2 linked regions of the Neurospora crassa OR74A genome follow. The protein of the gene in region 2 purifies or fractionates together with the protein of the main gene of each other region. This does not show direct contact. Links are inferred from orthologs where the notes say so. Each region holds a gene or a part of one and is shown on either strand. Other genes may lie near its edges.

What was found.
Region 1: the proteins of NCU06099 (region 2) and NCU04799 purify together in Saccharomyces cerevisiae (affinity purification with mass spectrometry; 3 studies listed by BioGRID). This does not show direct contact. The link is inferred for Neurospora crassa OR74A from reciprocal best matches to the Saccharomyces cerevisiae genes YGR054W and PAB1.

Annotation. Positions count from the first base shown.
Region 1 is NC_026506.1:863,872-868,201, reverse strand, and holds the start of NCU04799 (polyadenylate-binding protein), read left to right. Parts: upstream 1-1,492; 5' UTR 1,493-1,906; intron 1,907-2,139; 5' UTR 2,140-2,162; coding exon 2,163-4,294; intron 4,295-4,330. UniProt on the Saccharomyces cerevisiae protein: Binds the poly(A) tail of mRNA. Appears to be an important mediator of the multiple roles of the poly(A) tail in mRNA biogenesis, stability and translation.
Region 2 is NC_026507.1:1,796,858-1,801,233, forward strand, and holds the start of NCU06099 (hypothetical protein), read right to left. Parts: upstream 2,927-4,376; 5' UTR 2,170-2,926; coding exon 1,585-2,169; intron 1,520-1,584; coding exon 74-1,519; 3' UTR 1-73. UniProt on the Saccharomyces cerevisiae protein: Functions in the early steps of protein synthesis of a small number of specific mRNAs. Acts by directing the binding of methionyl-tRNAi to 40S ribosomal subunits.

The DNA.
Region 1 (4,330 bases), on a different chromosome or scaffold from region 2:
CAAGACTGGTGGTATCTCGAGCACATTGCTCGTCCGGGCGAATGAAGAGTTATGTAAGGATTCTATACCTGAAGAGAATCCTGAATGGTTGTTGTCGTCCATCAACTACAACAGGATGGTGCCTTTTTGATGTCCAATTCAATGACGATGAATACGGGTTCTATGGCCCATGCCCGCCCCGGCCTACTCACAAACACGAAGGCCAGAGGTCAAACAAGCCCTGGGCTGGCAAGGCTAGTCTGGGACACAGCCAAGCAGCGTCGTCCGTCAGATGCCTGCTCCCGCCTTGGTTCCTTCCACTTCACTTGACTTCTTGATTGAGTGATTGTGGTGTCCGCCGTGCCAATTGCTGCGCTAACGGTGGTGGAGGTAGTCTTGATATATGAATATCTTCATACGAGTTCCTTCCTTTTCCAGATGAACCCAGCAGCAACTCGGGTGGGACTGGTTCGGGTATTTGTATCAAGCCGATCTTGACATCTTGTTCTTTTCCATGTTAGACTTGACCCGGCACAGGGACCAATCACCACAATGGGACCAACCTCAACAGACAGCAGCCGCCATCAGGACCAAAACCTTTTCGTCGAAATGTTAGGATGTGTCATTACGCTCGAACTGTTCGAGTACCCAAGATGCCCTGTTCCAGACTTTGGTTTTTGCCGCTGGCTAACCAGTATATGACTGCAACATCCTGGCAGGTCATCCGGCCAAGTTGCCCCATCCAAGGTTCCGTGCGCGGCTTTGCCAACAATGTCTTTTTTGCAGGTGAAATGGACTGCGAATGCTGATACTCAGGACATCCGTTTTACTTCTCTATTTTTGTCTGGTGTGAAATATGCCCGTGGCACGAATGCAGCAGCAATGCCGTTTGCTAGCGGACTTCCAGAAAGGTAAGGCGGTCGTTAGCATTGTTCCATGGTGATGGGACAGATGCCAGCGACCCAGTGCCAAAATCCGGCACACCGCTGTAACCTATTGCATCTTCAACTCCAACCGCCAACTGAGATGGAATGTCCCGTGATTCAATACAAGTGAATCTCGCCGGTTTATACCAAATAGGTACGGCTGAAACGCAGGGTTTCATAACAACCCTCCAGGGTTCATGAATAAGTGCCCATGTCTGCCTGTTGTTGGCATGAGTCGTCGTCAGCCATGGTCGACCACAGTACCGTAAGTATGCTTGATCTCAGGTGGTGGCCCGGGAGCAAGTGGAAGTGCCAGGCAAAGTTGGAAGTCGCACGTTTCGCTGGATCTCCGGTCTGGTCTGCAGTCTGCACAGGTGGATGGATGCCTTTATGCGAGAATTCCTGGCGGGTCCTATCGATAAATCAAGGTTTTGCAGCCCATGCCACCCCGATACCCGCATGCCCTGACCGCCCTAGCCGCACTTCACCGGCTACGAGGGGCGCGGCACAGTGCGCAACCACAAGATGCGTGGGCGGGAAAGAAAAAAAATCTGACCTCCGCATTAAGACGTGAGCCATCCGGGCGTCGTTGCTTCTTGCCCTCTTTCTCCTCCTCTTCTTTCTTCAGCGGACCTCACGCCCTTTATCCTCAGGAAACTCCTCCAAACCGAAGCCAGAAAGAAGTCAGATAAGTACGAACATTTACCCTCTCGGTCTCTGTTCTATCTACTTCTTGTCTGTGACAAACAAAACCTCACCAAAAAAATTTGAAAATCGCCGAAAAAAGAGAAATCCCCCCCATCCATACAAAACCCCATAAAACCCACCAAATCCACCCACCTTTTTTGGAAGACATTTACCCAAGTCTCCAAGTCCACCAGTCTTCCTCTCCCTCTCCCGAATCTCGTCCTTGACCAGTCGAGTTCATCCTCCCTCTTTGTCAATACCGTCGCCCGTTCTCCGCGCCGGTTTTACTTGCTCCACACAACTCTAGATCTCGGGTACGTTGCTCGTCGCACTATCAATTCCTCCTGCCTTGCCATCGTCGTTGTCGTCGTCGCCGTGGCCGCCGCCAGTGCCGCCCGCCCAACGTCACGTCAATTGAGACTTGTCCTCTCCTCCTCCTTTCCGCTGTCGTCGTCGGTCGACACATCGGTTACCCCTCGGCGCCTTGATCAGAGACACAGACACACACAAAAGGATACGGACGCTGACAGTTCCATCCATCATACAGAATCTACAGTTTAACCAGCAAAAATGGCTGCCACTTCTACCGCCGCTGTCGACCAGCTCGCCGCTGACCTCGGCAACACCAGCCTCGACAACAAGGCCGCTGCCCCGGCCCCCATCGACACCAGCGCTGTCCCCGAGGCCCAGGCCGAGGGTGCTGAGGCTGCTCCTACCCCCACTGCTGCCCCTCACCCCCAGGCTTCCGCCTCTCTCTATGTCGGCGAGCTTGACCCCTCCGTCACCGAGGCCATGCTCTTCGAGCTCTTCTCCCAGATCGGCTCTGTCGCCTCCATTCGTGTCTGCCGCGATGCTGTCACCCGTCGCTCCCTCGGCTATGCCTACGTCAACTACAACACCACCGCTGACGGCGAGAAGGCTCTTGAGGAGCTCAACTACACCCTGATCAAGGGCCGCCCTTGCCGCATCATGTGGTCCCAGCGTGACCCCGCCCTCCGCAAGACCGGTGCCGGCAACATCTTCATCAAGAACCTCGACGCTGCCATTGATAACAAGGCTCTTCACGACACCTTTGCTGCTTTCGGCAACATCCTTTCCTGCAAGGTTGCCCAGGATGAGCACGGTAACTCCAAGGGCTACGGTTTCGTCCACTACGAGACCGATGAGGCTGCCTCCCAGGCCATCAAGCACGTCAACGGCATGCTTTTGAACGAGAAGAAGGTCTACGTTGGCCACCACATTCCCAAGAAGGACCGCCAGAGCAAGTTCGAGGAGATGAAGGCCAACTTCACCAACGTTTATGTCAAGAACATTAACAACGAGGTCACCGACGAGGAGTTCCGTGAGCTCTTCGCCAAGTTCGGTGAGGTCACTTCTTCCTCCCTTGCCCGTGACCAGGAGGGCAAGTCCCGTGGCTTCGGTTTCGTCAACTTCACCACCCACGAGGCTGCTGCCCAGGCTGTTGATGAGCTCAACGGCAAGGACTTCCGTGGCCAGGACCTCTACGTCGGCCGTGCCCAGAAGAAGCACGAGCGCGAGGAGGAGCTCCGCAAGTCCTACGAGGCTGCCCGCCTCGAGAAGGCCAACAAGTACCAGGGTGTCAACCTGTACATCAAGAACCTCGGCGATGATGTCGATGACGACAAGCTCCGTGCCATGTTCTCTGAGTATGGCCCCATCACCTCCGCCAAGGTCATGCGCGATTCTCTGATCGAGGGCTCCGAGGAGAAGGATGAGAAGGACAAGGAGAACAAGAAGGAGGGTGAGACCAAGGAGGAGGAGCAGAATGAGGGCTCTGAGAAGAAGACTGAGAAGAAGGGTGACCGCAAGCTCGGCAAGAGCAAGGGCTTCGGCTTCGTTTGCTTTAGCAACCCCGATGATGCCACCAAGGCCGTCACTGAGATGAACCAGCGCATGGTCGATGGCAAGCCCCTCTACGTCGCTCTTGCCCAGCGCAAGGATGTCCGCAAGAGCCAGCTTGAGGCCAGCATCCAGGCTCGCAACCAGCTCCGCATGCAGCAGGCCGCTGCCCAGGCTGGTATGCCCCAGCAGTACATGCAGGCTCCTGTCTACTACGCTGGTCAGCAGCCTGGTTTCATGCCCGCCCCCGGCGGTCGTGGCGTCCCCTTCCCCCAGGGTGGTATCGTCCCCGGCGTTCAGGGTGGTCGCCCTGGCCAGTACCCCTACCAGCAGGGTGGCCGCGGTGGCGTCCCTCCCCAGCAGATGCCCCCTATGGGTTACCCCATCAACCAGTTCGGCCCTGGTGCTTTCCCTCCTAACACCCCTCAGTACATGGCTGCTATGGGCCAGGTTGGTGCTCTTGGTGGTGGCCGTGGCGGTCCCGCTGGCCGGGGTCCTCAGGGCATCCCCGCCGGTATTCCCCAGGGTCTCCAGGGCGGCCCTGCCGTTCCCGGCTACCCCCCTGCCGGTCGTCCCCAGAACGGTGGCGGTCGCGGCACTCCTCGCGGCAACGCTAACTTTATGGCTGCCGGCCGTGGTGCCTCCCCCATTCCTGGCGCTCCTGCCGACCTCAGCGCTGGCTCTTTCCTCCAGGCTCAGCTCGCTACCACTCAGGATCCTCAGGCCCAGAAGCAGATCATTGGCGAGAACCTCTTCCCCAAGATCCAGGCCATCCAGCCCGCTCTTGCTGGCAAGATCACCGGCATGCTCCTCGAGATGGACAACGCTGAGCTGATCAACCTGTAAGTCTACATGTCTATTCCTGACTCTTCTACATA
Region 2 (4,376 bases):
CAACTTGATAACCACTACTCTACTTCCATCCGTCTCACAAGCTTCTCAACCCCCGACGCATGACCTTTTTGATTTAATGACCCTCCTTTTCCAGGGCCTCCAGCTCCTTAATCACAGAGCCCTTGGTGGCGATCTTCTTCAACTGGGTATCCTCCAACTTCTCACCACCAGCATGTCTCATCTCGAGATCCTCAATAGCGCGGATCTTCTTCTGAAGAGACCTGATCTTCTTCGCATTGGCGCTCTGGGCAGCCGCTGCGGCGGCGTCAACGACTGGGGCAGCCTGTTGAGCAGGGGCATTGGCCTGGCGCACGTTCGAGCGGCTGCGGTGGTTGTTCTGAGTACGGACAGCCAGGTTGTTGCTGCGCGACTGGCTGCGCGAGTGGTGACGCTGGTGGTTGCGATCGGGGCTGCGGCCGTCGACAGACTCGCGGGGAGGGGCAAGACCACCCTCGTTAGGAGTAGTCGCGCCCTCGCCCTGTGCCTGGCCCTCCTTGGCCTTCTTGTTGCGCTTCTTCTTGTTCTTCAAGGCAGTCTTGGACAAGTTCTCATCGTCCACAGCGGCGCCGGGAACAGAAGGTCTCGCTGGCTCGGCAAACTCGGCGCCAGGAATCTGGCGGCGCGGGCGGCCGAACCCATTAGGACCGACCTGAGGCACGCCATTGCTAACCGAGTGGGCGGCACCTCCCTCGTCCTCACGCTTGAAGTGAAGAGGAGTGGAAGAGCCACGGGCGCCGGGCGGGCGGTAGGCACCGACGGGCTTGGAAGGCGTCTTGACAGTGCCAAGGTATGCCAAAGCCGAAGGGTGAGGAGTGGGCACGGGGTGCAGCGGGTCAACGTTGGGAAGGTTGTTAGCAGGAACAGGGCGCCAGATAACGTTGTACAACTCAACCATGTCCTCGTTGTACATGATACCGCCACCAACGTGCCAGAGCTTGATGCCGTTGTCAACACGAAGACGGGGAGAAGTAGTGGCCGTCAAGATGTAACGGCTGTCGGGAGACCAGGTGCAGACACTGGGGTTACCGCTTTCGATGGTGGTGATCTTGCGATAATCCTTCTCAAGGTCGTAAACATCGATCTGACCAGCCAAGTTACCGAAACCGGCAACCAAGGCAAACCGGCCAGTAGGCGAGAAGATGATGGTGTTACGGGGGCCAAGAGGGAAGGAGTGGGTGGCGACGGCACGGTGGTTGAAGATGGTGGTTTTCGCGGGCATGTAGCCGTATACGACACCGAACTCCTTGGAGTTGGGGGACCACGACACATCGTGGATAGGGCCCTCCTTGTCAAGAGTGACGCGAGCGTCGAACGAGCCGTTGGCGCTCAGGAGGTACATGTTGGTCTCGCCGTAGTAGCTTTTGTTGGACTTGTCAACCTCTGTTTGCGCCAGCACAATCAGAGCAGTTCCGAGCTGGTTCCACTTGAGCTGGACTTTGTCGGCCTTGAAAAAGGTCTTTTGCGAAATCGGGCTGGTGAACTGGGGAACGTTGAAGACCTTGACGGAGGCGGGATGTCCCTGTAACCAACAGTTAGACGTTGATATAGAAAAGTGCGATGCATACGGGAGATCAGGTAACGTACCTTGCGCTCTGGGACGAAAACAGCAACGTTCTGGTTCTTACCGGGCGCGAGGGCAAAGTCGGAGACGCCCTCAACGCGCAGCTTGTTCCACACGGTGCCGAGATCGTTGCTGTTGTAGAACTGGACCTCGTTGGTGACGATGCGCGCGCAGAAGCGCTCATCCTCCGTGTACTGCAGGTTCCAGCCATTAGCAGACTTTTGGACGAACTTGCCAATGGGCTGCTTCTCAGCACCATCAGCGAGCTCCTCAATGGTGCGCCAGATCTTGAGATTCTTGGTAGCATCGCCATTCTCATCCTTGGCGGGGCGCTCCCAGGTGCTCAAGTAGGTACCGTGGGGGGAGAAGCTGAGTTCGTAGACGGCAGGGATGGGCAGCGAAGTCAAGACGTGGCCGACGGACGCGTCGACGATGACGACGCCCTCGTTAGTGGCGTAGGCAAAGTAGCGGCCGCATCCCGAGTAGACACAGCACCGGAGATTCCCTTCGGGCTTGGTGAATCCAGGAAGGGCTTCGTAGACAGGGTCGGCATCAAAGACGCCGATGGCCTTCTGGGTTCGGTAGGCGAGCTGCAACGGATTGGCCATGACTAGCGAAAGTCACAGGTGATCGCGGTTTGCAGAAAGCGGTGTGGGATTCGTTTCGTTACCTGGCTCCTTTTCCCGGGGGACTGGAGTCGTCGCTGCGAGCAAGAGGCGGACCTTTTTTTTTCGGTGTTCGAAACGGGTCACGCTTGGTGTCGAAGCTGCGAGAGGCGGAGCTCGTAAGCTTTGGTTGTGTGTTGGCGAAGGCGGAGTTGGGGGAGTATCGATCTGGCGCAACACAACAATGGTGATTGCGCAAAGGTAGAAACTCGACTGGCAGAAGCAGAGCAGAATTCGACAGTGCAACACAAAGCGACGCTTTTTCTTGCTGAGTCCTAGGTGGTGGTGGAAAGCGACTCAGGGACGGGGGGGCGGGAGGCGGAAGATATCAGATCTTGAATCGCAGGTTGCCAACGAAGGGAGACCGTGACGATGGGACAACAATGCGATGTTGCTTTGGACGGCGGCGAGGAACAAAGGGCACACGCCGTGGTGGAGATCCAAGAAGAATAAAAATCGACCGAATTCAGGAACGTGAACGATGAAGAGAAGCACCCTCAGGGAAGGAATTGGCAAAGGCGGTGCGAGTGTGGTTGACGGGGGGGAGAGGAAAAAAGAGGGGAGAGGTGGGTTAGGAGAAAGGGAGGAAAAGTAGGACAATGGAGAATGGCAGAGAAGGTGGACGCGAAGAAAGTTACGATACGGACGCGGTTCCACAGGTATCGTGGTTTCGGTTTTTTTGGTTTTTTTTCCATATCTCTTACCTACACTTTTTTTTTTCTTTTTTTTTTTCTTCCTTTTCTTTCGACATGTCACTGCAGCATCGATATTCAATTGGGCATTGGCACGGGCACTGGCCACCCGACCAAACAGCAGACGGGAGCTAAACAATGTGACGAGGACTGCACTAATGGGCAATATGACCGTAGAATATACACTTAAAAAAACACCTAGAGATAGTCCAGCAAGACGGCGCGGACGAGTTGTTCGCCTTCCGTTTGGGCGATCTCTAACTTTTTTGGAGGCTTTATGCATTTCGAGGTCGCGGCGGTTGTCCGTTCGCTGATTCAGACCTCTGCCACACGGACCTCTATTCTAGATTGGCAGCGGAGGACCTCGAGGGGACCGAACATTGAACAGCGGAGCCCCGCCGTGGGGCCGTGTTCCCTTCAGAGTCTCGGTGACATTCGGTGACAGACGTTAGTGACCGTACCCGTAAGCCCCGTAGGGACCAGGGCGAGCCTATCAGATGTTAACGGGCCCTATCACGGCGGCCAGCCGATCTCCAACACCCCCAACAGGTTGCGGCCCCCGGTGTTCTAGGCTTTGTTGTCCCTTGTTCGAGCCGCGGCAAGGGCCAGTCAGCGGCGCGCCAAGTTACGGCCAAGGCCCCTGCCCGATTTGCCTTTTCGTCAACGTCAACGTCAACGACATAGGACCCCGACGACGCTCAGGACAAGAGACATCGGACCGGGGGCGACGTCCACCACTGCGTTCTCTGCTCAACTTGCCATCCTAACAGACCTGAGGTTATCCATTTTTATGACCTGTTCCATTCAGGTGAGGTTTCGGCACCACTTTACTCGATGCTCTATGGCACGAAAGTTACACCCAAGTGAAACTACCGAACTCCAGCTTGGTCGTTCCTGGAGAACATTTTCAGAATACACGCGCCATCACTTCCGCATGCCCTGCCAAATGGAGGATCTGTGGGTAAAGGTAGTGATACCCTTCTTGATGGCTGGTGCTGTCCTTCATGTTAGGTACCTAGGTCTATTCTACTACCTCTAGGTTCAGACGTCCAAGCAATTGTGATACACATCCTATGATACCAGGAGAGCCACAGTACGGTCCTTTTCGTCTCTTCGCGAGGTACTATACACTCACTACAAACGATCCTACCACGCGGTCCATGTTGTTTGCTTTCCATGTTTTCCGCTTGCCCCCCGTAAACAACGGGCCCTTTTTTTTTTTTTTTTTTTTTTTTTTTTTTTTTTTTTTTTTTTTTTTTTTTTTTTTTTTTTTTTCCTTTCATGTTTCTATCCCTCTATAATGCTGTTTCCCCATATAACACACGGCAGTTGTTTCCAGCTTCAGTCAAAGCACACCAACACACTCTCGCTGAAGCAATCCGGGCATGAGCAATTGCTGGGTAAAATAGTCCAGGTGTTTTATGCACGCCATAACTTCAATGTTGATGGATACATGAC